4 linked regions of the Lonchura striata genome follow. The protein of the gene in region 4 purifies or fractionates together with the protein of the main gene of each other region. This does not show direct contact. Links are inferred from orthologs where the notes say so. Each region holds a gene or a part of one and is shown on either strand. Other genes may lie near its edges.

The links. The genes of interacting proteins can lie anywhere in the genome.
Region 1: the proteins of ARHGEF12 (region 4) and GIPC1 purify together in Homo sapiens (co-immunoprecipitation; 4 studies listed by BioGRID and IntAct, with this or other methods). This does not show direct contact. The link is inferred for Lonchura striata from reciprocal best matches to the Homo sapiens genes ARHGEF12 and GIPC1.
Region 2: the proteins of ARHGEF12 (region 4) and MYO6 purify together in Homo sapiens (affinity purification with mass spectrometry; 4 studies listed by BioGRID and IntAct, counting the BioPlex papers as one, with this or other methods). This does not show direct contact. The link is inferred for Lonchura striata from reciprocal best matches to the Homo sapiens genes ARHGEF12 and MYO6.
Region 3: the proteins of ARHGEF12 (region 4) and GNA13 purify together in Homo sapiens (affinity purification with western blotting; 3 studies listed by BioGRID). This does not show direct contact. The link is inferred for Lonchura striata from reciprocal best matches to the Homo sapiens genes ARHGEF12 and GNA13.

What each region holds. Positions count from the first base shown.
Region 1 is NC_134623.1:2,225,361-2,233,264, reverse strand, and holds the start of GIPC1 (PDZ domain-containing protein GIPC1), read left to right. Parts: upstream 1-4,614; coding exon 4,615-4,884; intron 4,885-6,631; coding exon 6,632-6,817; intron 6,818-7,904. UniProt on the Homo sapiens protein: May be involved in G protein-linked signaling.
Region 2 is NC_134605.1:82,985,078-82,992,666, forward strand, and holds the start of MYO6 (unconventional myosin-VI), read right to left. Parts: upstream 3,291-7,589; 5' UTR 3,202-3,290; intron 1-3,201. UniProt on the Homo sapiens protein: Myosins are actin-based motor molecules with ATPase activity. Unconventional myosins serve in intracellular movements. Myosin 6 is a reverse-direction motor protein that moves towards the minus-end of actin filaments.
Region 3 is NC_134621.1:9,431,339-9,439,051, forward strand, and holds the start of GNA13 (guanine nucleotide-binding protein subunit alpha-13), read left to right. Parts: upstream 1-4,423; 5' UTR 4,424-4,476; coding exon 4,477-4,759; intron 4,760-6,895; coding exon 6,896-7,122; intron 7,123-7,713. UniProt on the Homo sapiens protein: Guanine nucleotide-binding proteins (G proteins) are involved as modulators or transducers in various transmembrane signaling systems.
Region 4 is NC_134625.1:8,620,910-8,628,724, forward strand, and holds the start of ARHGEF12 (rho guanine nucleotide exchange factor 12), read right to left. Parts: upstream 3,002-7,815; 5' UTR 2,551-3,001; coding exon 2,519-2,550; intron 1-2,518. UniProt on the Homo sapiens protein: May play a role in the regulation of RhoA GTPase by guanine nucleotide-binding alpha-12 (GNA12) and alpha-13 (GNA13). Acts as guanine nucleotide exchange factor (GEF) for RhoA GTPase and may act as GTPase-activating protein (GAP) for GNA12 and GNA13.

The DNA of each region.
Region 1 (7,904 bases), on a different chromosome or scaffold from region 4:
TTGGGACCCCTCCCCAAAATGGGGTTTGGGACCTTGAATGGGGTTTGGGACCCCTCCCCAAAATCACACAGGGACCCCTTCCCAAAATGAGGTTTGGGACCTCGAATGGGGTTTGGGACCCCTCCCCAAATGGGGTTTGGGACTCCGAATGGGGTTTGGGACCCCTCCCCAAAATCACACCGGGACCCCTCCCCAAAATGGGTTCTGGACCCCTCCCCAAATGGGGTTTGAGTTCCCAAAATGGGTTTGGGACCCCTCCCCAAAATCACCCGGAGACCCCTCTCCAAAATCAAACGGGAACCCCTCCCCAAATGGGGTTAGGGACCCCAAATGGGGTTTGGGACCCCTCCCCAAAATCACACCGGGACCCCTCCCCAAAATGGGGTTTGGGACCCCAAAATGGGGTTTGGGACCCCAAATTGGATTTGAGACCCCTCCCAAATGGGGTTTGAGACCCCTCCCAAATGGGGTTTAGGACCCCTCCCCAAAATCACACCGGGACCCCTGCCCAAAATGGAGGTTGGGATCCCAAATTGGGATTGGGACCCCTCCCCAAATGGGGTTTGGGACATCGAATGGGGTTTGGGACCCCTCCCCAAAATCACACAGGGACCCCTCCCCAAAATGGGGTTTGGGATCCCAAATTGGTTTTGGGACCCCTCCCCAAATTGGATTTGGGACCCCTCCCCAAAATCACACCGGGACCCCTCACAAAATGGGGTTTGGGATCCCAAATTGGGATTGGGACCCCTCCCCAAATGGGGTTTGGGACCCCGAATGGGGTTTGGGACCCCTCCCCAAAATCACACCGGGACCCCTCCCCAAAATGGAGGTTGGGAGCCCAAATTGGATTTGGGACCCCTCCCCAAATGGGGTTTGGGACCCCGAATGGGGTTCGGGACCCCTCCCCAAAATCACACTGAGACCCCTCCCCAAAATGGAGGTTGGGATCCCAAATGGGGTTTGGGACCCCTCCCCAAAATCACACGGAGACCCCTCCCCAAAATGGAGGTTGGGACCCCAAATTGGATTTGGGACCCCTCCCCAAAATCACACGCGGACCCCCTTTGGCCACGCCCCTTCACTCGTTGACCACGCCCATCCTCGCTTGGCCACGCCCCTTTACTCGTTGACCACGCCCATCCCCGCTTGGCCACGCCCCTTTGCGCTCATCCCCTCCCCACTGGCCACGCCCCTTTGCGCTCAGACCACGCCCCTTTACTCACCGGCCCCGCCCCTTCTCGTTGGCCACGCCCCTTTGGGCTCCCTCCCCGCTGGCCACGCCCCCACGCGCCATCCCGGCTCCTGATTGGCTGCGCCGCGCGCGGGCCCGGGCGCGCCCATTGCCCGCGGCGGGCGGGGGGGGAGGGGAGGAGCGGCCACGCCCTTTCCTGCTGCCCTCCCCCCCCGCCTCCCATTGGTCCGGGCGGGGCGGGGCGGCGGCGCTGATTGGTCCGGGCGCGGTTTGGCCACGCCCTCCCGGAAGTGCCGCTCCGCTCCGGCTGCAGCGCCCGGCGGGTGAGGGGGGAAACCGGGACCGGAACCGGGAACGGGACCGGAACCGGGAATGGGAACCGGGAACTGGGAATGGGAAACCGGGACCGGAACCGGGAACGGGAATGGGAAACCGGGACCGGAACCGGGAATGGGAACGGGAAACCGGGACCGGAACCGGGAACGGGAATGGGAAACCGGGAACGGGGAATGGGAAACCGGGACCGGAACCGGGAATGGGAATGGGAAACCGGGACCGGAACCGGGAACGGGACCGGGGAATGGGAACGGGAACCGGGAATGGGAAACCGGGAACGGGGAATGGGAACGGGAACCGGGAACGGGACCGGATAGGAACCGGGAACCGGGAACAGGAAACCGGGAATGGGGAAACCGGGAGCGGAACCGGGAATGGGAAACCGGGACCGGAACCGGGAATGGGAAACCGGGAACTGGGAATGGGAACGGGAACCGGGAACCGGGAATGGGAAACCGGGAGCGGAACCGGGAACGGGACCGGACCGGAACCGGGAATGGGAAACCGGGAACTGGGAACGGGAACCGGGAATGGGAAACCGGGAACCGGGAACGGGACCGGACCGGAACCGGGAATGGGAAACCGGGAACTGGGAATGGGAACCGGGAACTGGGAATGGGAAACCGGGACCGGAACCGGGAACGGGACCGGACCGGAACCGGGAATGGGAATGGGAACCGGGAACCGGGAACCGGGAACTGGGAATGGGAAACCGGGAACGGGACCGGGAACGGGAACCGGGAATCGGGAACGGGAACCGGGAATGGGAAACCGGGACCGGAACCGGGAACGGGGAATGGGAAATCGGGACCGGAACTGAGAACGGGACCGGACCGGAACCGGGAACGGGAACTGGGAATGGGAACGGGAACCGGGAACCGGGAATGGGAAACCGGGAACGGAACCGGGAACGGGGAATGGGAACGGGAACCGGGAACCGGGAATGGGAAGTGGGAATGGGAAACCGGGACAGGGAACGGGACGGGATCGGAACCGGGAACGGGAACCGGGAACCGGGAACGGGAATAGGAAACCGGAACCGGGAACGGGACCGGACCGGAACCGGGTACCGGGAACAGGAAACCGGGAATGGGAACCAGGAACCGGGAATGGGAACCGGGAACCGGGAATGGGAACCGGGAACCGGGAATGGGAACTGGGAACGGGAAACCGGGAATGGGAACTGGGAATGGGAAACCGGGAGAGCGGAACCGGGAATGGGAAACTGGGAGAGCGGAACCGGGAACGGGAACCGGGAACGGGAACCGGGAATGGAACCGGGAATGGGAAACTGGGAGAGCGGAACCAGGAACGGGACCGGATCGGGATTGGAACCGGGAACGGGAACCGGGAATGGGGAAACCGGGACCGGGAATGGAATCGGGAATGGGAACGGGAATGGGGAAGGGGAATGAAACTGGGGAAACGGGAACGGGAAACCGGGAACGGGATCGGGAATGGGAAACCGGGACCGGAACCGGGAATGGGAAACCGGGACCGGGACTGAAACCGGCAACGGGAACGGGACTGCAACTGGAAATGGGAAACCGGGACTAAAACCGGGAATGGGACCGGGACCGGGAATGGGGAAACCGGGACCGGGAACGGGACCGGGAGCGAGCTCGGGGGGCCGGGACCACGGGAGGATCTGGGAGGGTCCCGGGGGTGGTCCCGGGATTCGGGGATCCCCCACCCCCCGTGCCTCAGTTTCCCCTCTCGCCTTTCAGCCCCCAGCGGAGCAGAGTGGGACCCCCCCGGGGACACCGGGACCCCCCAAAAACCACCCCGGGGACACCGGGACCCCCAAAAAAACACCCCGGGGACACCGGGACCCCCCAAAAACCACCCCGGGGACACCGGGACCCCCCAAAAACCACCCCGGGGACACCGGGACCCCCCAAAAAAACACCCCGGGGACACCGGGACCCCCCAAAAACACCCCGGGGACACCGGGACCCCCCCAAACCCCCCCGGACCTCTCAAAGCTCCACCGGACCCCCCCAAAACCCTTCCTAGAACCCCCAGACCCCCCCAAAATTCATTGGGACCCCCCCAAAACCCCTCTCAGAACCCCCGAAACCTCACCAGACCCCCCCAAAACCCCCCAAAACTCCGCTGAGACCCCCACTGATCCCCCCAAAACCCAAAAACTCCGCTGAGACCCCCACTGATCCCCCCAAAACCCCCCAAAACTCTGCTGAGACCCCCACCGATCCCCCCAAAACCCCCCAAAACTCCGCTGAGACCCCCACCGATCCCCCCAAAACCCAAAAACTCCGCTGAGACCCCCACTGATCCCCCCAAAACCCAAAAACTCCGCTGAGACCCCCACCGATCCCCCCAAAACCCAAAAACTCCGCTGAGACCCCCACCGATCCCCCCAAAACCCAAAAACTCCGCTGAGACCCCCACCGATCCCCCCAAAACCCAAAAACTCCGCTGAGACCCCCACCGATCCCCCCAAAACCCCTCAAAGCCCCCCCAAAACTCCGCTGAGACCCCCCCAGAAGCCCTCCTAGACCCCTCAAAGACCCCAAAACTCCGCTCAGACCCCCCAAAGCCCCCCAAAACCGCTTCTAGACACCCCCAGACCCCCTAAAACCCCTCAAAGACCCCCCAAAGCCCCCCAAAACCCCCTCCTAGACACCCCAAAGCCCCCCAAAACCCCTCAAAGCCCCTCCTAGACCCCCAAAACCCCTCCTAGACCCCCAAAACCCCTCCTAGACCCCCCAAAACCCCTCCTAGACCCCTCCAGCCCCCTCAAAGACCCCCCAAAGCCCCCCAAAACCACTTCTGGACACCCCCAGACCCCCTAAAACCCATCAAAGACCCCTCAAAGGCCCCCAAAACACCTCAAAGACCCCTCAAAGCCCCCCAAAACCCCTCCTAGACACCCCAAAGCCCCCCCAAACCCCCTCAAAGGCCCCTCCAGCCCCCTCAAAGACCCCCCAAAGCCCCCCAAAACCCCTCCTAGACACCCCAAAGCCCCCCCAAACCCCTCAAAGACCCCCCAAAGCCCCCCAAAACCCCTCCTAGACCCCCCAAAGCCCCCCCAAACCCCCTCCGAGCCCCCCCGGCCCCCCATGCCGCTGGGCCTGGGCCGCCGCAAGAAGCCGCCGCCGCTGGTGGAGAACGAGGAGGGGTCCGGGGGGCGCGGGGGGACCCCGGGGGAGCCCGGGGGGGCCCCGGGGGGGGTCCCGGGGGGCGCGGCCCCCGCCCCCGGCCTGCGGCCCCGCCTGGTGTTCCACACGCAGCTGGCGCACGGCAGCGCCACCGGCCGCGTCGAGGGATTCGGCAACGTGCGCGAGCTGTACGGCAAGATCGGCGAGGCCTTCGGCATCCCGCCCAGCGAGGTGAACTGGGAGCACTGGGAGGGACTGGGATGGGATTGGGATGGACTGGGATGGGATTGGGATGGACTGGGATAGACTGGGATGGGATTGGGATGGACTGGGATGGACTGGGAGGGACTGGGATGGGATTGGGATGGGATTCGGCAACGTGCGCGAGCTGTACGGCAAGATCGGCGAGGCCTTCGGCATCCCGCCCAGCGAGGTGAACTGGGAGCACTGGGAGGGACTGGGATGGACTGGGAATGGGATTGGGATGGACTGGGATGGGATTGGGATAGACTGGGATGGACTGGGATGGGATTGGGATGGACTGGGATGGACTGGGATGGACTGGGATGGGATTGGGATAGACTGGGATGGACTGGGATGGGATTGGGAGGGACTGGGATGGACTGGGATGGACTGGGATGGGACTGGGAGTGACTGGGATGGACTGGGAGGGACTGGGAGGGACTGGGATGACACGCTGACCACCCCAGTGTCCCCATGTCCCAGTGTCCCCTGGTGCTGTCCTGTCGCCAGGTGAGACCCCAGGTGACACTGAGGTGACACCCCAGGTGTGTCCCTGACCAGGTGACACCCCAGGTGCTCACCTGTCCCAGGTGCTGTTCTGCACGCTGAACACACCAATGTCCCCAATGTCCCCAATGTCCCCAATGTCTCCAGGTGACACCCAGGTGTGTCCCTGCCCCAGGTGACACCCCGGGTAACACCCCATGTGACACCCAGGTGACACTCAGGTGACACCCAGGTGTGTCCCTGCCCCAGGTGACATCTCAGGTGACACCCGGGTGACACTCAGGTGACACCAGGTGTGCTCACCTGTCCAGGTGCTGTTCTGCACGCTGAACACACCAATGTCCCCAATATCCCCAGGTGACACCCAGGGGTGTACCTGTCCCAGGTGACACTCAGATGACACCCAGGTGACATCCCAGGGGTGTCCCTGCCCAGGTGACACCAGGTGACAACCCAGGTGACCACCAGGTGTGCTCACCTGTCCAGGTGCTGTTCTGCACGCTGAACACACCAATGTCCCAATGTCCCCAGTGTCCCCAGGTGACACCCAGGGGTGTACCTGTCCCAGGTGACACTCAGGTGACACCAGGTGACTCCCAGGTGTGCTCACCTGTCCAGGTGCTGTTCTGCACGCTGAACACACCGCAGGTGGACATGGAGAAGCTGCTGGGCGGGCAGATCGGGCTGGGGGATTGTCCCCAGTGTCCCCAGGTGACACCCGGGGGTGTACCTGTCCCAGGTGACACTCAGGTGACCCCCAGGTGTGCTCACCTGTCCAGGTGTTGTTCTGCATGCTGAACACGCCAATGTCCCCAATGTCCCCAGGTGTGTCCCTGCCCAGGTGACACCCCAGGTGACACTCAGGTGACACCAGGTGACACCAGGTGTGCTCACCTGTCCCAGGTGCTGTTCTGCACGCTGAACACACCAATGTCCCCAATGTCCCCAATGTCCCCAGGTGACATCCAGGTGTGTCCCTGCCCCAGGTGACATCTCAGGTGATACTCAGGTGTGTCCCTGCCCCAGGTGACATCTCAGGTGATACTCAGGTGTGTCCCTGCCCAGGTGACACCCCAGGTGACATCCCAGGTGCTCACCTGTCCAGGTGCTGTTCTGCACGCTGAACACACCAATGTCCCAATGTCCCCAATGTCCCCAGGTGACATCCAGGTGTGTACCTGTCCCAGGTGACACTCGGGTGACCCCCAGGTGTGCTCACCTGTCCCAGGTGTTGTTCTGCACGCTGAACACGCCGCAGGTGGACATGGAGAAGCTGCTGGGCGGGCAGATCGGGCTGGAGGATTTCATCTTCGCGCACACGCGCGGCCGCCAGAAGGACGTGCAGGTGCTGAAGGACGAGGAGGCGCTGGGGCTGACCATCACCGACAACGGCGCCGGCTACGCCTTCATCAAGGTGAGACACACCTGGGACAGGTGAGACACACCTGGAGACACACCTGGACAGGTGAGACACACCTGAGATAGGTGAGACACAGCTGAGACAGGTGAGACACACCTGAGATAGGTGAGACACACCTGGGACACAGCTGAGATAGGTGAGACACACCTGAGATAGGTGAGACACACCTGGGCACACCTGGGCACAGCTGGGGCTGACCATCACCGACAACGGCGCCGGCTACGCCTTCATCAAGGTGAGACACACCTGGGACAGGTGAGACACACCTGAGATAGGTGAGACACACCTGGAGACACACCTGAGATAGGTGAGACACACCTGAGATAGGTGAGACACACCTGGGACACAGCTGAGATAGGTGAGACACACCTGAGACAGGTGAGACACACCTGGGACAGGTGAGACACACCTGGAGACACACCTGAGATAGGTGAGACACAGCTGGGACAGGTGAGACACACCTGGAGACACACCTGAGATAGGTGAGACACAGCTGGGACAGGTGAGACACACCTGAGATAGGTGAGACACACCTGGGACAGGTGAGACACACCTGAGATAGGTGAGACACACCTGGGCACAGCTGGGCACAGCTGGGGCTGACCATCACCGACAACAGCGCCGGCTACGCCTTCATCAAGGTGAGACACACCTGGAGACACACCTGAGACAGGTGAGACACACCTGGGACAGGTGAGACACACCTGGAGACACACCTGAGACAGGTGAGACACACCTGGGACAGGTGAGACACACCTGAGACAGGTGAGACACACCTGGGACAGGTGAGACACACCTGAGACAGGTGAGACACACCTGGGACACAGCTGAGACAGGTGAGACACACCTGGGCACAGCTGGGACAGGTAACACACACCTGGGCACAGCTGGGTGGGGGCAGTTGGGCAGCACTGGGGCTCAACTTCACCTACAACAGGGTAGTGCAGCTGTGCCCAGGTGTGCCCAGGTGTGCCCAGGTGTGCCCAGGTATGACACAGGTGTGCCCAGGTGTGCTCAGGTGTGCCCAGGTGTGCCCAGGTGTGCCCCAGGTGTGCCCAGGTGTGCCCAGGTGTGCCCAGGT
Region 2 (7,589 bases), on a different chromosome or scaffold from region 4:
GTAACATGAGATGACCAGCAACTGAAAGATTATAGGACTTATCAGAGAAACTGTTCATCTTTTGAGGACTGAAATTGCTTTTTTTCCACATAAGCTCAAGCCCAAATATAGACAGCACCTGAAGAAATCATCAAGCTCAAGCCCCTGCATGAGAACAAGTAAAACAGTTTTGAGGGGTGTTTTTAATTTATCCTTAACACAAATCCTATTTGACTTTCAAAAACTTTTGCAGAAATGAGATTGCACAACCTTAGTTTCTTTCAGTTTTCCCTAAGGCATAACAGATTTTAAGAACTTTATCAAGTCTTTGGTATAAATTAGTTTCATCTTTTTTCAGTACAGTCACTGATAGAAGAACACAAACCACTTCTCACTAAATTTAATGCCCTAGCATCTTCCTGTCCCCTCATCTAATTTCTTTCTGCTGGAAATGAGCTTGCGTAGCTTTGTGGAACATACTTTCCAAGCATATATATTCCTTAACAGCCTGTGGCCAAAACTGGACACATTATTCTGTTAACTTAAGCTGCACTAGTAGAAAAAGCTAAATGCTGGACTTCAATAGTACTGCATCCCTGTGCTTCTTGTGATCCCACGTAACCCTCAGATCTGCTCCCATGGCACTGCTGCCAAGTCGACTTTACCCATCTGCATTATGGGATCTTCTTCCTGAAAATAGTATCTTGTACTCAAATACTGCCTTCAAACTTATCAGAAACCTCTTGTTCTCCAAAGCAGAGCATCAAAAACACAGTCTGAAAGCACTACTCAGTCTCCTTCATATTTTGTGCTAATTCTTTTGATCAAAGATATCCATGTCAACAAGTACAAAGGTGCCAGAACTGCCCCCAGCACCATTTAAACTGATGTTTGATGGTGACTCATAGTCATTTCCTGAGAGTTATCACTCAGAGTTGTTATCTCTCGACCTCGTCCCTTTGGTTCAGCTGTTCTCAAAAACTCACTTCAGTTGAACAATTTTCCTAAGAGCAGTCCTACTGGGTCAGACAGCAGATCTGTTGTCTGCACTATGTTAATGCCTGAAATTAATATATAAATTTGATAAATAATTGAAAGTACTTTCCCAACCTATTATCCCAGCTCTGTGCTCAGCTTGGTGACACCCTGAGCTACTTCAGGTACTCCACACAAGTTAGCCTTAGTGGGTTTTTCTTCCATTAATTTGTCCGGCTGCTTTTAAAGTCCCTGTAAACTTTCAATATCCACATGCTTCAGAAAGGATTTCCAAAGCTTAACTAACCACACATTGGGTCAAAACCAAAAACACACCACTTTTGTTCATTTTGAACCTGCCAGCTTAATCATATGCTTTCACATTTTGTTCTGATAAAAAGTTAGTCCATACTCAACTTTGCCACATCACTCATAAGACTGTCAAAATTTCTAATACCTGAAATCTTTCCTCAGACCAGTGTTATCAAATACCACAAAAATGCAAAGGTTAGATTGGGTCACAAAGCCACTTCCACCCTGGTGGACCAGGCACAAGGAAGCACTATTTCACCTTCCTTATGAGAACATTATTGTTAATGGGTCAAAATACTGACCTATTATCAAAACAAAAGCACATGGCAATGCCGGAGGCTGAAAGACACAGTACTTAGTGCAGATTATAGAGGAATCTGACTAGAAATAATGGGGGTGGGGAAATTAGTTCAACTTAGAATTTCTGCCAATACTGACATGGTTTTCATTCAGAAAGCTATTCAGCCTCGCAGGAAAGTTTACTGCCTTTATATTTGCATTGCTGGCTTTATAGTTGTATAGTCAAAGGCATAACTGTGCCTTCACTAAATAGTTTATTAACTGAGACACATTAAAAACCCATCCACTAAAAATACAGTCAAGCAAAATCTTAATTTCTATGTTATTAAAAGCAACAACACAAAAGTTTGGGACTTGTGCTCTGATAATTCTGATAGTTACTCTCCCATCTTAACAACACTGAGATCTTTCTTTTGCAATTATTTTATAAACCATACATTTAAGAGTTAACTTGTGTGTTAGCAGTTTTATTATATTTAAACAAATACTGCAAGACATTTGCCTATACTTTTAAATTTTCATAATTAACATTTAAAAAATTAAAATATTTCTATTTTTATTAGGCGCTTTTTTTTTTTTCCGCTAAAAAATAAAGTTAAAAAAACGCAGATGACATTTAACTCGCGAGTTCATCTCCACCCTGTTAATTTGTCACACTTGTAAAAGAAGGAAGACTCAGTCCCGCAGCCAACCTTTGTACTCGGATGGCTGTGAACCCAGTCCATAGGCCGCCCCGCAGCCCGGCGATGCCAACTGAACTGTGAGGAATTAGGTCGCCTCAAAGGTCTGTTCCCTCCGGGAGCACCACAGGGCACAAGTCCCGACGTACTACTTCTCTGCACCTTTGTAAAAACAGGGCTGGCAGTCAGCAGTATTCGCTGAAACAACAGATGACAACCATCCTTTTACAGAAGCAGCCAGCTATTAGTTCAGCTACCTCCATCCTACAGGCCTTGGTGGCATTTACTAGTTCAAAACTAGTAAATTGGAGCCAAGTATCGGGCAAGCACCAACAGTACATTTGCTGCACTGCAGGTCGTATTCTAGACCATTAAGGAGACCGTTTCAAGCTTTCCTATTCAGAAACGGATGCAAGACAGAGGAACGGGGTATTGGATTTTAGTTGTACATCACGGTGACACACGCTGCTCTCCAAACCGCAGCCTGCAAAAAGTACTTCAAGCAGAAATACTCCAGAAGACGTTTTTCCACTGAAAAGACGTTTTTCCACTGAACTACCAGTCGTACTGTGTCTGGTCAGTAAAGGCTATAAAAATTTTATTTTCACTTACAAGGACGATCCCACCAGCACAGAAGTGTTTCTGAAGCAAGGAGGGGAGCCCAGCAGGGATGGAATTTCACAGAGGATGATACTAAAAAAACCCAAACAAACCCACAAAGGAAAGAATTTCCATGACAGCTAATTTAAGGAAGTAACGCGCACTCCGGAGGGATTCTGAGCTGCGGTTCCACAGGTCGGTCCCGAGGTGCGCTGGCCGGAGCGCTCCCCGCCGAGGGCCCGGCCCGCACCTGCCCGGGCGAGAGGGGCGGCGGGGGCAGCCGCGGCGGGCCGGGGGCCGGCGCCTCCCGCCGCGGGTAGGAGGGGCGGCGGAGGCGGAGAGGCCGCGTCCTTACCTGCTGCTGGAGGTGCTGCTGCTGCGCTCGGCGCCCCGCTCGCTGCCGACCCTGCCGCCGCCGCCGCCGCGCCGCTCTGCGCCGCCCCCGCCGCCCGGCACGGCCCGGCCCGGCCCGGCACGTCACCGCCACAGGGCCGGCCGGGGGCGGGGGCAGCGCCGGCGGGGCGGCGGCTCGGAGGCCGGCCCGGCCTTCTCTCCGCTCGGGCTGCCCGGCGGGAGCCCCGGCCCCGCGCCGAGCCCGCAGCCCGCGCCCTCCGCGCACGGTGGTGCTGAGGGGCTGGCCACGGCTACTTTGTGAGCTGGGCCTCTTCCATTATTTTTTACCGACGCGGTTGCATAAGGGGTCATTCCTGACCGTCGCCCCATCAAGAAAGGTGCCGAGCAGGTGGCGGCTCTCCTGCTGCACAAAGCTTGGAAGTCAGACTGTGTCAGCCCGGTCCCTCTCCCAGGCTCGCCCCGGCCCCGTGCCGTCCCTGCCGTGTCCCCAGGGTCCCGCCTGGGCGGAGGTTCCAGGGCTGGGAGCAGCGATGGTGGCACCGCTGCTGCGTGGCAGAACAGCGTGGCCTGCCAGCCCCGTGCCCCCTGCACTCCTGCAGGGCAGCCGGGGCAGCCTCGGCTCCGCGGGATTGCCCCGGCGTGTGCCTCACCCAGCCATCCATCCCTGCGGCTGCTGCGGCTCGGGGACAGCGGCCCGGCATTGCATCGTTGCATCATGCTCGGCCGGGGCGTCACACCGCTGGGGCTACCCACAGCCACCCCTCCCGAGCCGCAGCTCTGCGTCACCTCCCTGTCCCTTGGCTTTACCGCGATTCATTCCTGGCGTCGCCAGCTGGTTTGTCAGCTTTCCCGTAGCACCGTGCTTCTCTCGCCACAATGGTTCATGAGCAGCACAATGACCCCGACTGTACGTGCAAAGCCTCCTCGCTCTCCACCCGATGGTTCGTTCATACGTCTTTTGCTGACAAAGTGAAACAAACCAGTTAATACTTCAAAATCTTGTGTTTTCGTTGATTTTGCAGCCCCAGCTACCTTTCTTTAAGCAAGGTGTGTTTCACTGCATCCTTTTTGAGTGTTTGGACAACACCAGGGACGTTGTGGGTACAGCCACTAGCTAATAAATAATTTACATAGATTTCTTCAAGCCATAGCTGCCCATGTAGACATGATTGTCGTAACAACGCCTTAGCCTCTTTCAGAGGACAAAGAGAAATCCCAGGGGCTTCTTTAGGGGCAACCTAGAGAAACTCAGGGGGTTCTGTCAAGGATCAGAGTGGATGTACACATGGAAGGAAAATGGCAGTACATTAGATGCATGAGTAATCCTGCATCCTGTGTGGAGTACGGGTGGAGTTCAATCCTGCGTCCAGATTAACATTCCTACAACTCCTGAAATGTGCTGTGAACTTGTTTTGGTCTTTAAAACATTCCACATGACTGTCAAGTATTAAGGTAAATTTGATGGTTGCATCTTCACTTGACATAATTTAGAATGTTTGACAATTTGGACAATCAAAACATTGTATAACTTCTAGAGCACTGAAGTTTGTCTTTGGCATTACCTTTCAGTACTTTGTACAGTCAGCCTTACTTTTATTTGTAAAAGAGAGATAAGGATAATTGTTATCTGGGAGAAAAAAAAGTGCATGGACAAGTGAATGAAAATGTAAATTTGGTGACTGGCTAACCACCTCTGTTAGCAAAACAGGATATAATGTCAGGAAACTATCAACAAAACACTTACAGTGTAAACAATCCAAGCAGTGCTGAGCACTGTCTTACCCTCTGATGTGCCTCTCCCTCATTGGAAGAAGCATGTCTCTACTTTCTCCCCTCTTTTCTCCCTGGGAAGTTTAAAAATAACCCAAGACACAGCAACATCTGTTCTGTGAATCTTCAGGGAAAATACAGGAAGACTCACAAGCGAAATCAGAGTGCAAGAACTTCAACCTAAGCAAAAAGTGGGGGAAAGTGGAAAGAGAAGAAAAGGCAAAACATGTTTTAGTGTACCCATTGCCTGTATGTAAGGAGCATTTCCAGTTTCATTCCTAGGAAAATTGGATGAACCTCTGTAACTTCAGTCTGAGACTTTTCAGAACACCAGGAACAGTGCAGACGGGTTACAGCTGCTTTGTTTAATAGCTGTATGAGGAGCAGATGCAGTTTGAGGCTGGGGGGAGGGCAGAGTGCCTTTAGCATCACCCTGTTCCTCCCACACCTCAGTGCACCAGGCAGAGCAAACAGCAGTGGAGAAGCCTCCACTGCCAAGTGACAACCGCAGAGGTGGCGTGTCCGTGCTGCTGGAACTCAGGGCAGGCTCACACTGTACACACCACAGCAAGAGGGTGTCTTGTGAGGAACCAGAGCTATAAAAACACCATCTCCAGTGTGCAAACTCCATGTTCTGGATGGCCTACAAGGAATTCCACAAGCATTCCAAAGGTGGAAGATCAACAATACATGGCAGCACCACATTTTGACATTTGACATGCACGTGCACCTCTTGTAGTTCTGCCACAAAGAACTGACAATACTTCAAATGTCATACACCCAGTTATTAAAATAGAACATTTTAATATGAATCCAGGTTGCTATGGATAGTAAACAGCTTTTGTCATTAAAGTTGCCATATATTTTTTTAAAATATGTGTTAACGTAGGAACCACTATATTTGTCAGAGCTGTTGAATGGCAGTCTGGATGAATGAGAGGTAAAGGACCCTAGATGATTTCTCAGAAAACCCTGAGAGGATATTAAGTTTGTGTTCACAGAATCACATAATGATTTGGGTTGGAAGGGACCTTACAGATGATCTAGTTCCAGCCCCACTGCCATGGGCAGAGACACATGCTTGACCAGGTTGCTCTAAGCCCCATTCAGCCTGGCCTTGATGAATACCAGTTTGAAAGGATGGGCAGGTAAGGGACTCCAGGTAATTTCTCAGAAAACCCTGAGAGGATATTACATGCGTTTTCATTTCAAAGAATATTATACAATGTCTTACTTTAATTTCATTGAAAGTGAATTTTGTGTATAACTCAATGGATCAAACTTCAGACGATTCAATATAAATAGGAAAAGGTAAAGGCTCTCATACTTGCATTAAAAATTTCACTCCTGAGAGGATTGTTCTTAAATGTTTAGTATCATAACTGCTCAGTTTCTCTCTCCACACTTTATAATGAAAAATTAAATGCAAAAATCTGGTTTGACATTGATTTCAAGCCTTTACTGTATGCATATCTCCAGGTGGAATGCTTGTGTTTGAATCATGTTGATATTAGCTAGCTTTCCCTGTGGATTCCACATAGCAACAACTGTTTTACACATCACATGTAATGGATAAAGTTCTGCCTGTAAAAATGTCCATGGGCACTGACTTAAGTCACAGCTTAATGTGAGGCCAGAAGTTCATTTTCTTTACACTGTTTTGTTGGCATACTCTAAGTGTACATGAGAGTGATGTAATGACACTTTATCTGTGTAATGTGGTCCCAGTAAAACACCTCACAGCTTGCCAGCAGCAACTCTTGGCATTTCCTAACAGCTGAGTATTTTGGTTTAGCACTTAGATACTCCCCAAAAATTATTTTATAGTTTTACAGTCAGTTTCTGATAAAAACTAAAGTCACTGGTTATAGAACAGTTTTGGACTTACCAATGCAGTTTGCAAATGTGGCTACTGAAGCTGCCAGCACAATTTATCTATTATTTGTCTGGATAAAGAATAGCTTGTTCATATGTTTGCAAAAGAACCTTTCTAACTTGGCTCAAGGTTGAGCAGCTTTTATTAGGAGAAAGAACAAGAAAATTTGCTGGGATTTTAGCAGTAGTAGATGACGTTCCTTTCAGGATCAATCTCTGGTTTCTTTCCAAGCAGGCTTACTTTAGATAAGCACCGTTAATTTCCTTATCATGTAAATTATTTACTGGAAATAAATGTGTAAGTCTTATATTATCTGCTCCCTTTTCCTTAAGTTATGTGCACATACATAAGTCTCCAATTTTGACAGTAGTGAAATGATCCCTTTTTTTTTTTTCATCTTTCTGGCAGAGTTTGCATAAACATCTATTTTAACTATGCCTGAATATTTTTTAATGTTCTAACTTTCCACAGGCCATCTGTATTTCAACAGACGCATACAAGTTACAAAAAATTTTAGACATTATGTTCTAAGGTAAGAGTTCCTATTTAAAGTCTTCCTGTTTAATTTCAATTTGTGAGTAGTTTTTTCTTTGACAACATGCTAGTTTAGGAATATCGATGGTTTCGCATTTTCACCCCTAGCAATGTGTGACAGGTTTCTGAAGCTGTTTTTTGGCTGAGAGTAAGTCTCTTGGACTGGCCCCATTTTTCAATTTCCTCTCCTTAAAGGATAATTCAATTAA
Region 3 (7,713 bases), on a different chromosome or scaffold from region 4:
TAGCTCTGAGAAGCTCACGCTGAGTTGTGAGCTCTTCAGCCTCACTGAGCTCCAAAGAGTCTGATAATTTTAAATCCTTCCGATCCCCCAAACACCCCCTCACAGGTCAGGTGTGGCGTTTTTTCTATTTCTAGTCTTCTCTGACAAGCTATGATGAAGCTTATGGATATTCCTGTATTTTAAAGCTAGTTTGTGTAATTTCCACAACATGTCCAAGGTAAATTCAGCTTTATTAACATCTGTGAGTGACCCACAGCACCAAACACAGATGAGTTGATATTTCACCTGTGCCCAGGTGAACCGTCCCAGCAGTTAATGCTCTTGGGCAGATCTGCCACATGAAGCACGAGGCATTTAAATCAGATTATAGAGGCTTGTCTAGGGCAGACACTCCTGGGCCTCTAATCACGAAACCCACACTTGTAGAAAGCAAAGAATTCTCCAGTCCTTGATGCAGCCTGGCTGGCATATTTGTTGGTCAAGAAAACAAGGGACTTGAACAACAACAAGAGTGGTGGAGAGCACTGGCAGCAGTCATAAAGGAGATTCCCTCCAGATTTCTGACTCCCTACGTTCACCCTGGCCTTTCTGCCCCCCAGATAATGCAGAAATACATTATCTGGGGAGTGCCCTTAACCTCCTGTTTTGTATAGTAAATGCAGTGGTATTTATGTAGCTGCAAGTTTCCATGGGTGTTCTACCCCACACAGGGTAAAAGCTGCTATAGTGGAAATACCCTTGTGGTCATCACATCCCATCACATCACATCATCACATCACATCACATCACATCAATCACATCACATCAAATCACAGGGCAATGGTGAGTGTCCATGGGCTCTCCAGAGCCCACAGATCCCTGCCAGCCTCTCACACAGAGTGTGTCCAGGCTGGGAAAAGTTCTGCTGAAAGCCGGATTTTATCCCTCTGGTCTCCTTGTGCAGCCCCACAAGCTGTGATTGCTCTCAACAGACTGGCTCTCAATTCTCCAGAGTTTCTCTTGTGGAAAGCACTGCCAAGGGAATCCCCCCCTGACTTTAAAAGGTCACATTTCCTACGTGGTTGCCCCTTTTTCACACATCAGAAAGTTGAATCATCCAACACAAAAGGCATGTGGTGAGTAAGCTACCTTTCTATGTAAGGAAGCTGGGGACGCCCTGAGGGGAAGGAAGGGGTAACAGTAAGTGAAACAAGTGGCAGGTGGGGGCTTGGTTTTAGCACTTGGTTCCTTCCAGGAAGATTTCAAAGCAGTTTGCTCAAAAAAAAAAAAAAAAAAAAAAAAAAAAAAAAAAAAAAAAAAAATTGTGCAAACTGTGGCATAGAGAGAGGAGTGACTTGAGCTCAGCTCTGCCAGCAAGGCAATGGTTAAAGGAATATCCCCAGAGTCCATTGTCCTGCCTGGTGGGGCACAAGCACTCAAAATGAGAAGTTTCCTTAGCAGCCTCATGGGAAGAGCTGCTGGGGCAAACGGGCAGCATTTGTTTCCCGTCGTTCCTGGGCTTTCCAGGAAAGCTAAGGAAAGAAGTGGCAAAGAGGAAGGAAAAAAGCCAAGCAGAGCAAGACCTTATGCACCCTGCCTTAGAGATGGAGCCTGGCTGCTGGGGTGGGAGGATGCAGCTGGCTTCACAGTGACCTGGGTGGTGCGGAGCCCTCTCCAGGGAACACGGTCAGGCAGGGCAGGAACAGCCCCTCCCTGGCTGGGAGCCAGGCTGCTGTGCCAGCGCACGGAGTGGGGGTTTGGAGAGCTCCCCACGTGAAGGGGAGAGCAACGGGGAGGTCAAGGACTCCCCAGCACTCAAGTGGCTCGATTGGAGAAACTCAGGAGTCCTCTGCAGCTAGGGAGGTAAGATGAGAGTTGAGACAAATATCTTAAAACTTCATTTTAAAACTGAGACCAGAGCTCAGGAATGACTGGCTTCCACATCTGTACCAAGAGTAACAGGACGTGCTCCTTGTATTAATTTTGTACCACATCCTGTTCTCCTACAAGAAATGCCTTTTTTTTTTTTTTTTTTTTTTTTTTTCTGGTAAGCCCCTTTGAAATAATTCCCATACAGTTTTATCTCCATGTGGGACCAACCTAAGGAGAGAACACTGATGCGCTTTTCAGATTTTGAAGGTCCTTCCAGCTGAGGCCAAGTAACATTTCCTTGTTCTAAACTCACCTCACAGTTTCACATTTATCTTTCCCTTTTTCTAAGTTATTATTAATGTTGGGGGGAAAAGCAGAAAAAGATTAAGAGGAAATTTCAGCAGATATCAAAGACTAGGAGATGTAAGGAGAGACAAATGTTTAATGCAATCTTTGCACTACTGATGGTAGTTAAAGTTAATTTATTAAAACAAATTACTAAGCTGTGCTTAGGGCTGTGTTGAATGAAGTGTGGGATTTTCAGTCCGTGAGATTTTCAGTCCTTGCAGGTCCCTCAGCCTAAGATTTGTTCTACTCCTCACATGAAGGATTGCCATTGAAAATAAATCTTTGCTCCTTTTAACTCGGGATCAGCTAGAGTCCCACTCTCTTTTGCTCACTGTGCCTCGGGAGAGGTTGGACCCAGGCTGTTTGTTCAGCTCGGTGCTGCAACCCTGCAGCACTGGGAAGCTCTTCTCAGCCAGGCAGTGAGGAAGGACATGCCAATTTTTCAAATGTTTTAACAAAACAGCTCTCTTTCTGCAGCAAAAAGAAAACCTGCTTAGCTGGCAAGCACCATCCTGCCCCCCTGACTGAGGGCTGACCTCCCTGGGCCGCTTGCCCAGCAGCTTCCCTGCATCCACGGGGTCGGGTGAGCCTGGGGCTCCTTTCCATGGAACCTCAGAATCCCAGATTTGTTAAAGCTGGAAGGGACCTCCTAAGATCATCCAGCCCAACCCCACTGCCTAAGCAGAGTCATCCAGGAACACGTCCAGGTGTGTTTGGAACATCTCCTGAGAGGGAGGAGACTCCACAATCTCTCTGGGCAGCTGTTGCAAGCCTCTGCCTCCTCCGTGGAAAGTAGTTCTTCCTCATGTTGAGGTGGAACTTCTTGTGTTTTAGTTTACAGCCATTGCTCCTCATCCTGTCACAGGGTACCACTGAAGAGTCTGGGACCATCCTCTTGGCATTCCCCTTGGAGATATTTATATGTATTGATGAGATGTCCTCTCAGTCTTCTCTCCTAAACATACCCATGAGGAGCCAGGGACAAGGACAGGGACAGGGACAGGAGTGGCTGTGTCAGTTCCTGTGTCCAGTTCTGGGCCCCTCAGTTCAGGAAGAAGATTGAAGGGCTGGAGCGTGTCTGGAGAAGGGAATGGAGCTGGGAAGGGGCTGGAGAACCAAGAGCTGCTGAGGGAACTCAGGGGGCTCAGCCTGGAGAACAGAAGGTTCAGGGGGAACCTTCTCACTCTGTAACTCCCAACAGGAGGGTGCAGCCAGGTGAGGGTCAGGCTCTGCTCCAGGGAACAAGGGAACAACCTCAAGCTGCTCCAGGGGAGGATGGGGTTAGATATTATGGAAAAATTCTTCACAGAAAGGGTAATTAGACATTGGAATGGACTGCCCAGAGATGTGGTGGAGACACCCTGGAGGTGCTGAAAGACTGGATATGGCAATTGGTGCCATAGTCCAGTTGACAGAGGTGATTTGTCACAGATTGGGCTGGATGATCTCAGTGATCTTTTCTAACCTAATTGATTCTGTGTTTCTATGATTTAGTCTCTTCTGCCTGCCTGCAGTGAGAGGATGGGTGCACATGGCCTCAAGGTGGGAGATTCATTAGATTAGGAAAAAAAAAGTTATGGTTAGGGTGGTCTGGCAATTGAAAGGGCTCCCAGGAAAGTGGTAGAGTCACCATCCCTGAAAGTGCTTGAGAAACATCCAGACCTGGTGCTGAGTGATGTGTTTTTATGGATGCTGGGTGGGTGGTTGGACTGGATCTTAAAGGTCTCTTCCAAACCTTTATGACTCCATGAAGCCCACCTTAAATTTATTTTCCATTACAAAGCACATTAAAATTATGATCATGTGCATCTATAAACCTTTAAGTCCATTACACAGCAGCACCCTGTGCCTGAATGTTCTTTCACTGTGTTTCCTCGCGAGCAGCCTGGCACCTGCCAGGAGGCACAGCCTGGATCTCCTCCAGGAACGGCGCTGAAAAATCGCGATTTCAAGCTCCACTTCAAGGCGACTCGGGGGCTTTCTTGAGGAGAAGGCGGTGTTTTACAGGTGAATTGCCAGTCTGGCTACGAGGATCTCAGGGCGCTGGGAAGGGCAGTGAGGCAGCCGGCGCAGGAGCAGGCCCGCTCCTGAGGGTCCCTCCCGCCATTTCCTGTGAGGGGCCGGAGGGGGCGGGGCCGGCGCGGGGGGCGGGCCCGCGCTCGTCACGCGCCGGGCGGGAGCGTGCAGGCGGGCGCGGCGCGGCGCGCAGGCGCGGTGCGGGGCGCGCGCGGCGCGGGCGGCGGGCGGGCGCTCCCCTGGCTGGCAGCGCTCGCTAAGATGGCGGATTTCCTGCCGTCCCGCTCCGCGCTGGCCGGCTGCTTCCCCGGCTGCCTCCTCACCAGCGGCGAGGCCGAGCAGCAGCGCAAGTCCAAGGAGATCGACAAGTGCCTCAACCGCGAGAAGACCTACGTGAAGCGCCTCGTCAAGATCCTGCTGCTGGGCGCGGGCGAGAGCGGCAAGTCCACCTTCCTCAAGCAGATGCGGATCATCCACGGGCAGGACTGGGACCGCGCGGCGCGCGAGGAGTTCCGCGCCACCATCTACAGCAACGTGATCAAGGGTGGGTGAGGGCGGCGGGGACGGGCGCCCTGCGAGCGCCGGGCCCGGCCGGGCCGGGGCGGGGAGAGGCGGCTCGGGCGGGTCCGCGGCCGCCGCCGCCTGCCGCGCTGTCCCGGCGCCGCGGCCGTGCCCCGGGGCCGGCCCGCGGCGGTGTCACCGCGCCGCCCGCTGCGGCCCGCGGGGCGGCTCCGGCCCCGGGAGCTGCCCGCTTGGCCCTCGGTGCTGCGCTGGAGCGAGGCCAGAGAAGGGCAGCGGAGCTGGGGAAGGGGCTGGAGCACAAGGGGGGGGCTCAGCCTGAAGAACAGGGCGCTCAGGGGTGATCTTATCGCTCTCTACAACCGCTGGAGGGATGTGGTAGCCAGGTGGGGTTCGGGCTCTGTTCCCAGAGAACTAGAGATAGGACGAGGGGACAGTGTGAAGCTGCACCGGAGGAGCTTTATGCTGGACGTTCGGAAGAATTTCTTCCATTGAGACAATGGGCTACCCAGGGGGGTGATGGAGTCACTGTCGTTGGAAGTGTTTAAGGCTGGACGTGGCACTTAATGGCAAGTCTGGTTGACAGGGTGGTATTCGGTCATAGGTTGGACTGAATGATCTCAGAGGTCTTTTCCGATCTAATTGATTCCGTGATTCTGTGATTTCCTGGTAATGCGAGTGCTCTAATGAGCGGTAATGGATGGGGGGAAGATGCACCTGGAAGTGCATGAGGAGGAGCCCAGCCCTTTGCTTTCAGCGTTTTGCTGCAGTGGAAATCGCTGCTCGGCTGACACATCAATTAACTGCAACCCGCAGGCAGAGCCTCTCTCATAGATCCTTTGCCAAAACCTCCACACATGGTTTAGGGGAGTAGTGGACGCTTGATTTCACTACTGTCATCCTGGCTTCATTGGTCGTCTTCACGCATTTTCTCTTACCTAAATTGCTCCTTGGATATTCAGTTTGGACTGTGTAATAGTTGGAGCAGATCTTAATGAAGTTTCTCAAAACAGCACAGTGTTGCCAGACTCAGCTCCTGAAAATCCAGCAATTCTCAAAGAGAGTTGTTTTACAAACCTGCTGATGAATCAAGCCTGGAAAAACTACTTATAGCAGTAGAAGGCAGTAGAAATCATGCACATGAATCTCAACCAGGTTAAAGTTTATTGTTAAAGCTACTTCATGCTCTGTGAAGGTATACACATAGGACCTGCACATCTGTCTGGGACGCTCTTTTCCTGCAGTCACAGATAGATTTGACAGATACCTACCTGCCTTTGACAGAGAGAAAAACCATGGAAAAGGACTGAACCTTGAGAAAACACCTTGGCATCGAATGAGTATGTTACTGAACAGTCATTTGTTGCCACATCTTAATTTCCTTATATCTCTTCCCATGCCTTTACAGTTGCTTAGTCTTTCTGGATTTTTATTTTTATTTTTTCGTCAGCAAATTCAATACTAGAAATAATTTTCTTGCAATATGAGGACAGTTGATTTATATCCTTCAGAAGGACTCTGAAAAGAAGTTTAAAATGCTCTTCTAGAAAATATTTACCAAAACAACCACACAAGTGCAGGGAAGCCTTTAGATGATACAATTCCTCTGCACTTAAGCTATAGAAACATATTTTTAGCAAGTGCAATGATTTTAGTACATGTCTTAGTCTCTCTGAAAATATGAAAGGCAATGATAGAAATACTGTCAGTGATAGAGATTCTTTGTATAATTTGGTATGACTGGATACCAAGTTTGTATTCTTCACAAAACTTAGAGAACCTTAAAGCAAGACATCAGGTGGTTTAACGTATTTCGAAATAAACTTTTAAGTATTCCTTGTCTTGCACTCATGCCAAGTGAAAGAATTTGGTAGCAGATAAACTTAGTAATTAAAAACAGCACATTTTCAAGAATTAAATTTGCATCCTGTTGATGGTAGTCATGTTCTTGAGATAGCAAATCCGGGGTTTGCTGCTACCTGTATATGTAGTGGTTTGAGTCAGTTTTTTGGCTTCCTGATTCCCTGCCCATCCTGGGTGGATGTTCCTATTGAGCTTTGTGCAGAGCAGGTGCATTGTTCGCCTCAGTGCAGATCCGAAGCCTGGTGAAACAGTAGATGCTGAGAAACTCTGCTCACAGTGTCCTTCCTCGTCATTGCAGGTGTGCGAGTCCTGGTGGACGCCAGAGAGAAACTCCATATCCCTTGGGGAGATGCTGCCAACCAGAGCAACGGGGACAAGGTGATGGCTTTCGACACCCGCGCGGTCACCGTGGCGCAGGGCATGGTGGAGACCGGGGTTTTTTTGGACTACCTGCCAGCCATCCGAGCCCTGTGGGCAGACAGTGGCATCCAGCACGCCTACGACAGGCGCAGGGAGTTCCAGCTGGTAAGATTTGGCCTTCAGTGTCTTTAACTGCCCCTCTGTGATTTTATTCCTGCCTCGATTCTCTGAGAAACGCCGACCAAGCCGCTTCCTTAGCGTTTTTGAGTTTTCTTACTCTGTGGTGTTGCACACAGCTGCATTTAGCTACTTCCCCCCACTTTTTTTTAATAATAATAAAAGAGGTTCTGATGTAATCGTCCTCATTTCATATGTGGGAAAGCTGAAGTATTGAGGGCTTTTAAGTTTTGGAACAAAGCTGGTACCTGCACGGTTTTTTTGCCATATGATTATTACCACCCTTTTATTAACTGGTGCATCAACTTAAAAAACCAAGCCAAGCAAAAAAAGATGGTTTGTCAAAAAAAGACATGCTTAATAGTAATGTGATTTTTAAAGAAAAGATATGCATGGGTTAATGAGAAGAATTTAAAAACCACTCCCTTCTCTATTCCAGTTTGAGCAATCTAGCAAACATTCCCTCTGTATACTTCCTGTTTAATTTTGAATGTCTGTGTTAATACTCATGTAATGAGACTTTTGTTACATTGAAGTTCTCAGCTGAAGATGGAGTACACAATTTTATAGTGGGATAGA
Region 4 (7,815 bases):
ATGGTGATCATTTATATCAAGAGATATAAAATATGTCAAGGATTAGACAAGTGCAACCTGCACAAGGGAAATGTGACAGCTGTCAAATCATTACTGCCTTAAATTGCAGGGATAGCAAAGGAAATATCTGCTGTCTGTAATGTGGATTTAGGCAGCTCTATATATGCTAAATACAAATATGTAAAGCTAATATGGAGAAAAATCTAGGCCCAAGCTACCCTATTATATTCCTAATACCATCTGGCACGGATGCAAACTGGGTTTTCCTGGTTTAAGGCAATTCCCATCTCAATCCCACCAAGGAAGGTGATTGACAAACACAAAGAGAATTGAACATGTCAGATGATTTATGGATCTAATGACAGTGGAAGCATCATTATTTATATTGCACCTGCTTTACATTCTAAGCTCTAGAGGCAGATTGAAAAAGGCAACACAGAAAGTCCCTGGGCCTGAAGGGAAAGGGGAATGTTCTGCAGGGACAAGAGTGATCAAATCCTGCACAATGCTGGGGATGAAAAGGAACGGCAGAGATCGGGACAAACACGACCACCACATCTGGGGTTCTGCTGAAAGGTTCAGCCAGGGAATAAATCAGAAATCATCAGAGAATCCCAGAATGGTTTGGGCTGGGAGGGACCTTAAATCCCATCTCTTTCCCATCCCCCTGCCATGGGCAGGGACACCTTCCACTGCCCCAGGGTGCTCCAGCCTTGGACACTTCCAGGGATCCAGGGGCACCCTGTCACCATCCTCACCATCAATCTAACCCTCCTCTGAGTTTTCCACCGTTCCCCCTTGTCCTGTCACTCCAGACCTTTTAAAATAGTCTCTCTCCATCTTCCCTGTAGGCTCCTTCAGGTCCTGGCAGGCCACCCCAAAGCTTCTCTTCTCCTGGCAGAACCACGACCATGACTTTGTACCCCAGAGCTGGGGCTGCTTCAGGCCAGAGGTGGAAAATAGTGACAAGAAGAGATCCAGTTTCTCCACATTCCCCCAGCCATCCCAGAAATCCAAGGGTTGTGGGCACAGCTCCTCACCTGACATTAAAAGCCTTTTGATCCAAAACCTTAATGGAACACCAAACAGAAACATCCTCCTGACATGACTGAGAGCAAAAGGAAATGAGACATTTTTTATTTGGCTGCTCCAATTCAATAATGGAAAGTATTTTGTTTTACTAACAAGTAAATTAAATTCCCTGTTCTCGTGTTTTTCCTTTCCGTGCATCACTCAGCTGCTCCTCGGGATGAAAATCCTGTCGTTCTTTTTGATATCATGCAACTGCCACAAGACATATGGCCTGAAGTATGTAACAAAATCCTCACAAATCCACTGAAATGCCTTTTTACTGTCATTGCCTCGCCTGCTACAGAGAAAAACATCCTGCAACCCAAGAATCATTCATGCACTGCAAAAGAGAAAACTCCACTCGTACAAACTACAGAATTAATTGCCAAGATTGAATACTCTGTGAACAGTTGTAAACACAGATTGTACACAAGTCTGAGCTGTCCCAGAGCCCTTTGGACTGGGCTGACTTGTGGAGTCACGAAAAGGCCGGGTTTAAGTGAGAACCACACTCAGACTCTCTCCTGCCTGCACCTGGAGCCTAAAATTGGTGAGCTCAAGCCCCCAAAAGCATCACTGCTCCATCCCAGCCCCAGCTTCGCTGCTGTGCCAGAACTGCTTGGTCATGAAAGGCCAAAGCGAGGCCTTTGCCACACTCATTCACACCTTAACCACCAGCCAGACACTATACAGATACAAAAAAACACATTAAATGGTTCTTACAGCATACTGTGTCAAAAAAGGTATCTTTCCTTCCCATCCAAAAAAAATCTGAAGGCACTCATTCGCCCCAAAAGCACGTTAAAATGTTTCCTTCTTGACTTTTTTTTTTTTTTGTCACATTTTTTATCCCTTCCTCTGAAACACCTCAGTGCAAACGAGAGAACTGCAGAGGTAATGAAAGGCACCTGCAGAGCAGCCCAGAGGCTCAAGCAGGTATCTGAAGGCAGGTTCCTGCTAAGGTAGACACCAGCAGACATTCCTGCTTGTCAACTCTCCCTCCTGCCCTCACCTGGAGTGACCTCTCCGCAGTACTTGACCCAAGGAGACCCAAGTGCATCCTCAACACGCTCTCCCAGCTCAGGCTTGAGCTGGATACTAAATTCTGGTGGCTTCTGCTGCTCCAGCTCCGTGCAGGAACCCTTGCTTTCGGTGTTCCCCGCAGCACCAGCCCATCCTGGGAGCTGAGTTAGCACCCCTGGCTCCTACAAAGTCAGCCTGGCAGGCCTGAAAGCTGTTGGACTTGAAATACTCCGCTTTCAAAGTCAACCCAGTCGCTTTGACAGTCAAGACACCCTTGGCTCCCAGAGCCTCTGATTTAATCCTGCTTTTCTGATCCCGTCTGTCACTGAAGCCAGAACACGAAGTACGTGAGCTCTGCGGGTAGTCACACTTCAAAAAAAGGAAAAAAAAAAAAAAAAATCAAGGAATCTCATTTTATACTGACCTGTCCGTGATTGTGGACTGTGTGCCACTCATTGGAGCCTTTGGCAAGAAGTCGTATTATCCAATTTACATTTTACTCTTCTTGCAGGAATATGAACGAGGCTTTGCCCCTTACATGCACCGAGGTTCAGGATCCAGCCTTGCTCCAGAAGAGGCATGCACAGAGGACAAACTCAGTTCAAGGGCAGGAGAAGGGAACAAAAAAAAAAAAAAAAAAAAAAGAACCAACAAAAACCAAACCCAATCCAAAACAACTCCAAAACTCTTCTTTGCAGTCACCCAGAATATCCAAACCACGGAAGTGGGGCGCGGGGGGGATAAAGCAAAAACTCCAGCAAGGAAAAAAACTCCAACAACAACAACAACAAAAATAATCAACAAAACAACCTCGGCGGACGCGGGCGGGGGGTGGAAAAAAGAAGAAACCCTCGTGAAGAGGCGGGCGATGCTCCGAGCGCGGGGGCCCGTGCGGGCTCAGGGGCTGCGCTCGGGGGGCGGGCGGCGCTCCCCGCCCGCGGCCGGGCCCATCCCCGCTGCCCGCCCGGCCTCGCCCGCGGGGCTCGGGCAGGGCGGCCGCCTCTAGGCCCGGGGCTCCATGCCCCGCCGCTCGGCCTCTCGCTGCGGCCCTGCGCCGCTCTGCGCCGCGCTGCTCTCCCGGCCCGCTGGCGGCCCCGGCGCTGCGCGGCTGGGCGAGGCGGCAGCGGCGCGTCCCGGGAGCCTGCGCCGAGCCGGGCCGGGCCGGGCTCGCCCCTCCCCGGCGCCTCCGGGGGGCTCGTACCTCCGGCCGCTCCGCCCCGCCGCCGGATCCCTCCGCCGCCCGCCCTCCTCTTCCTCCTCTTCCTCCTCCCTCTCTCTTCCTTCTCCTGTTTCTCCTCCTTCTCCTCCTTCTCCTTCTTCCCCTCCTCCTTCCCCTCCTTCCCCTCCTCCTTCCCCTCCTTCTCCTCCTTCCCCTCCTTCTCCTCCTTCCCCTTCTTCCCCTCCTTCTCCTCCTTCTCCTCCTCCTCCTTCCCCTCCTTCTTCTCCTTCTCCTCCTTGCCCTCCTTCTCCTCCTTCCCCTCCTTCTCCTCTTTCTCCTCCTCCTCCTCCTTCCCCTCCTTCCCCTCCTTCTCCTTCCCCTCCTTCTCCTTCTCCTCCTTCCCCTCCTTCCCCTCCTTCCCCTCCTTCTCCTCCTTCTCCTCCTCCTCCTTCCCCTCCTTCTTCTCCTTCTCCTCCTTGCCCTCCTTCTCCTCCTTCCCCTTCTCCTCCTCTTTCTCCTCCTCCTCCTTCTCCTCCTTCCCCTCCTTCCCCTTCTCCTCCTTCTCCTTCTCCTCCTCCTCCTTCCCCTCCTTCTCCTCCTTCCCTTCCTTCTCCTCCTTCTCTGCCTCCTCCTCCTCCTCTCTCGCAGCCCTTTCCCGGTCCCTGCCCAGGCCTTTTCCCTTCGGGAAGCGTTTTCCAGACCCGCGGGCTGTTTCCTTTCGTCTCCGCTCGGTGGCGGCCGCTTCTCCCTCTCCCTGTGTCCCAGCTTTCCATCCCCCTGCGTCCCTAACCCGAGGAGGTTTCCCTTTTCCCTCTACCCGTTTTTCCATTTTTCCCCATCCTCCTGCGTCCTTAACCCGAGGAGGTTTCCCTTTTCCCTCTATCCCTTTTTCCATTTTTCCATATTTCCCCATCCCCTGCCCAACAGTATTCCATCCCCCTGCGTCCCTAACCCGAGGAGGTTTCCCTTTTCCCTCTACCCCTTTTTCCCTTTTTCCGTTTTCCCCCATCCCCCTGCATCCCTAGCCCGAGGAGGTTTCCCTTTTCCTTCTATCCCTTTTTCCCTTTTTTCCCTATTTTTTTTCCCCATCCCCTGCTATCCGACACTTTGCCGTGTCACCAGCGCTCAGGGCAGGGAGCGCCCGCGCCTCCATCTCCATGGAAAATATGACACCGGCGAAACTTGGAGCAGAAAGAAAATAAATAAGCAGCAAATTAAAAGAGTAGAAGTGCCAGGAGCTGTGCAGCGCGGAGCCTCGGGCTGTGCTGCTCACTCCCAGGCCTTTCGTTGTCCCATCCCGCGTTCCCCGCATTTCCCACGCAAGTTTCAAAGGGAATTTTTTCTTGGAGGTTAAGGGCAGCATAAATCCAAGAACTGATCCCTCCCTGCACGTACATTCCAGAAACACTGCGGCCAAGGGCCTGTTCCTGCTCCCCTTCAAAACTTCCAGTGCCAAAAGATGAGCCACGCGGGGTGTTGGGGCATTTAAATTTTAGCAGGTGAGGATTTCCTTCTCTCGGCCACAGGCTGAACACAAACATGTCCTTGCTGTAACTCCCTGCTGTTCATGTACACGGTCTGAGAGAGAAATTCCTGTTTCAAGTCTGCACAGAATCCCAGAATGGTTTGGGCTGGAAGGGATCTTAAAGATTATTTTGTTCCAACCCCCTGCCACGGTTCTTCTTCCACTATCCCAGGTTCCTCCAACCTGGCTTCGAACACTTCCAAGGATCCACCACAGCTTCTCTGGGCAACCTCACCACCCCCACAAGGAATTATTTTTTCCTCATATCCCACCTAAAGCTACTCTCCGTCAGTGTGAAGCCGTTCCCCCTTGTCCTGGCACTACAAGCCACTTGTTCTCAAACACCTGGAAATAACATCTACACCTGAGGACTTCAGGAAACTTCCACGCTACTCCTCCAGAAATGAAAGCTCGTGAGCAGCACAGATGTGGAATGAAAAGCAGGATATCTCCCCTGCCAGTAATTCCTGCCCCTCTGCACAAAGGAACTTACAGAACATCAGCCTCCTCCAGCAAAATGCCAGCAGACTAAAATAACCTTATTAGCTAATCCCAATCATCTAGGACACCACGCTTCTTCCCTTTAATTAATCTTGCCGGGATAGACTTCAAAGCTGGGACACTGGACTTGGAAAGAGGCTGGAAAAGAAAGGTTTTGGCTGGGCACACGGGACCGTACCTCTGGAACACGGAGCTGTGTCCTGCTCGCCGCGCGCATCAGGAAGCCGGCAGCCCGAAGTCTGAGCGCCCGAAGAATTTGTTGTTTTGATGGAGTTCAGAGCAAAGAGGGGAAGCGTGGGATGAAATCATTTTCTACATGATATTTCACATATATGCGCAGGACATTTATACTTCCTTTTTTGGTTTCCTTTTGGGGAAAACGGAGGCTTGGTGGGGGGAAAAATAAATAAATAAAGTGTGGGAGTGTGAGACAAGCGGCCACGTCTGCCTCTCCTTCTGCAGCTGTGTGCAATAGAGTCATCAGTGCTGATGAAGTGACTGAATGCCTCCATATATCTATATTTATTTATTATATATCTCTTTATTGCATCTTCTCTGCAATAAATCCCTCCCTGCTTTTAACTTTGGGAACATCGAGTACTGTGCCTGGAGAGGGGAAAGATCCTGGGAGATCTGATTCCTGGCAGGCCCAGCATTTGCATATTAGGCCTCAATGCTTTTTTATTACTTTAATTATATTTTATTGTGCATGACAACATAACGAGAACAATTAGCTGGAGGAAATCCTAAGACATAGATTTTCTACTTCTCTTCTCTGCAAATGCTGATTTTTTTTTTTTTTTTTGGAGGGAGTTGGTTACATATTTAGATTAAGATAGATGTCCATTTATGATAATTCTGTTTTACAGCCTGAAATATGGGGTAGGGAAATCAATAAGTAATTACAGTGTGCCCATTACTTTTTTTTTTTTTTTTTTGGCGCTCTGAAGCTGTCACTTGATCTGAATTTACACACAGAACCATCCCATGGCAGGAGGGTTGGAGCAAGATGACCTTTGAGGTCTCTTCCAACACAAAACCATTTTGTGATTCTCTAATCAACCTCCTCCATCTGTTTTTTTAGTCCATAGCAGAGCTAAGCAGGACCCTAAAATTGAGGAGTTTCATTCCTAAGGAGTACAATTCCATTCTTATTTTGCCTTAAAATAACGGTTAGATCCTTGGAGGTGCTTTAGAGGGGCTCCTGTAAAAATAAATTTATAAAGTGTGAGGATTCTTTGGCCAAATCCCCTTTCCCAGGCTCGCACCGAGGAGCTGTTGCCATCTGCTGGGAAAGCCTCGAATGGCTCCTCTAACCTGAGCTGCCGGGCAGGTAAAAACTCAGGAATTTGGGAAAAAAAAAAAGCATTTCCAAGCGCTTTGGGATCGTGGAGCTCCGAGGGGGGTTTGCACCGCTGTCAGCTCAGCATAAACAGCGAGGAAAATCAGCAAAAAGTGATGCTTTAAGGTTTTAAGTGTGGATAAACAGTGCCTGGATGCATTTTTCTTTCAGAAAAAAATTTCAATTTGTGTTTCAGATGGGATAATCGGCTGAGTTTCGCTGAGCTCCACCACAAAAATAAAGATTCTTTTGCTCCTTACAAATCATCAATTTCAAGCCAGTGAGAGAATGTTCAGGTATTTTGAACAGTTCTTTACACTCAGTACAAATTGCTCAGCCAGCTCCTGTTTTTCTGCTGCTTTTGGAAGCCAGCTGCCAAACCTTTACACCTTGGAGGGGAAAAGCACAGGGGAAATGATTCCCAAGTTCATTTCCCAAATGTGCCTATGGAGCAGAGGACTTAACCCCAGAAAACACAATTACATTGGTGCTGTGTTCCACATTCCTGCACTATTTCCAAACCTTTTTTCATCTCCCACCTTAAAACAGGCACCAGATTTTCTCCCTACAGCTTGTCCTGCAGTTTTGGAAATGCTGAAAATTCCCCAGAGTTGGTATTGGGACACAGGGTTTTGCTGATTTTGAGACACAGATCCTAATCTAGCAGAGCTTCTACAGTGACAGCTTATTACAGTTCCTAAACCTGGATAATCCACGGGCAGTCAGCATTTTTAGAGCCCTGAGCTTTTGTTCCACATCAGCATCATGAAAACAGCAAGGGCAGAGGAATCTGCTGGACATCGTGCCCTGAGTTTCCTTCTCTTTCTCCATCCTCTGGCAGGACGGGGGATTAAAAAGAAAGAGGTAACATCTAAAGAAATGGAGAATATAATTTCTTTTCACGTTTGAGGATTGTGGCACTAGAGAGATCTCAATCTCCTGACACAAAGCACAATTCAAACAGCACAACTCTGCTGAAAATCTGTGGTTTGTAACATTTGAGAAGCTGCAGAAGCTGAAACTTCCTTCTTCCCATACAAAATTATCTACCTGTAAACCTTTATTACTTTACAGACACTTTTCCATGTACCTTGATCTGTTAGATTCCTTCCTTTAGTATTTTTCTAAGGATCTTTTACATTGTTGACTTATCAGCTGCCAAAGTGCCCCTGGAATTTGAGGCAAATAGGGCAT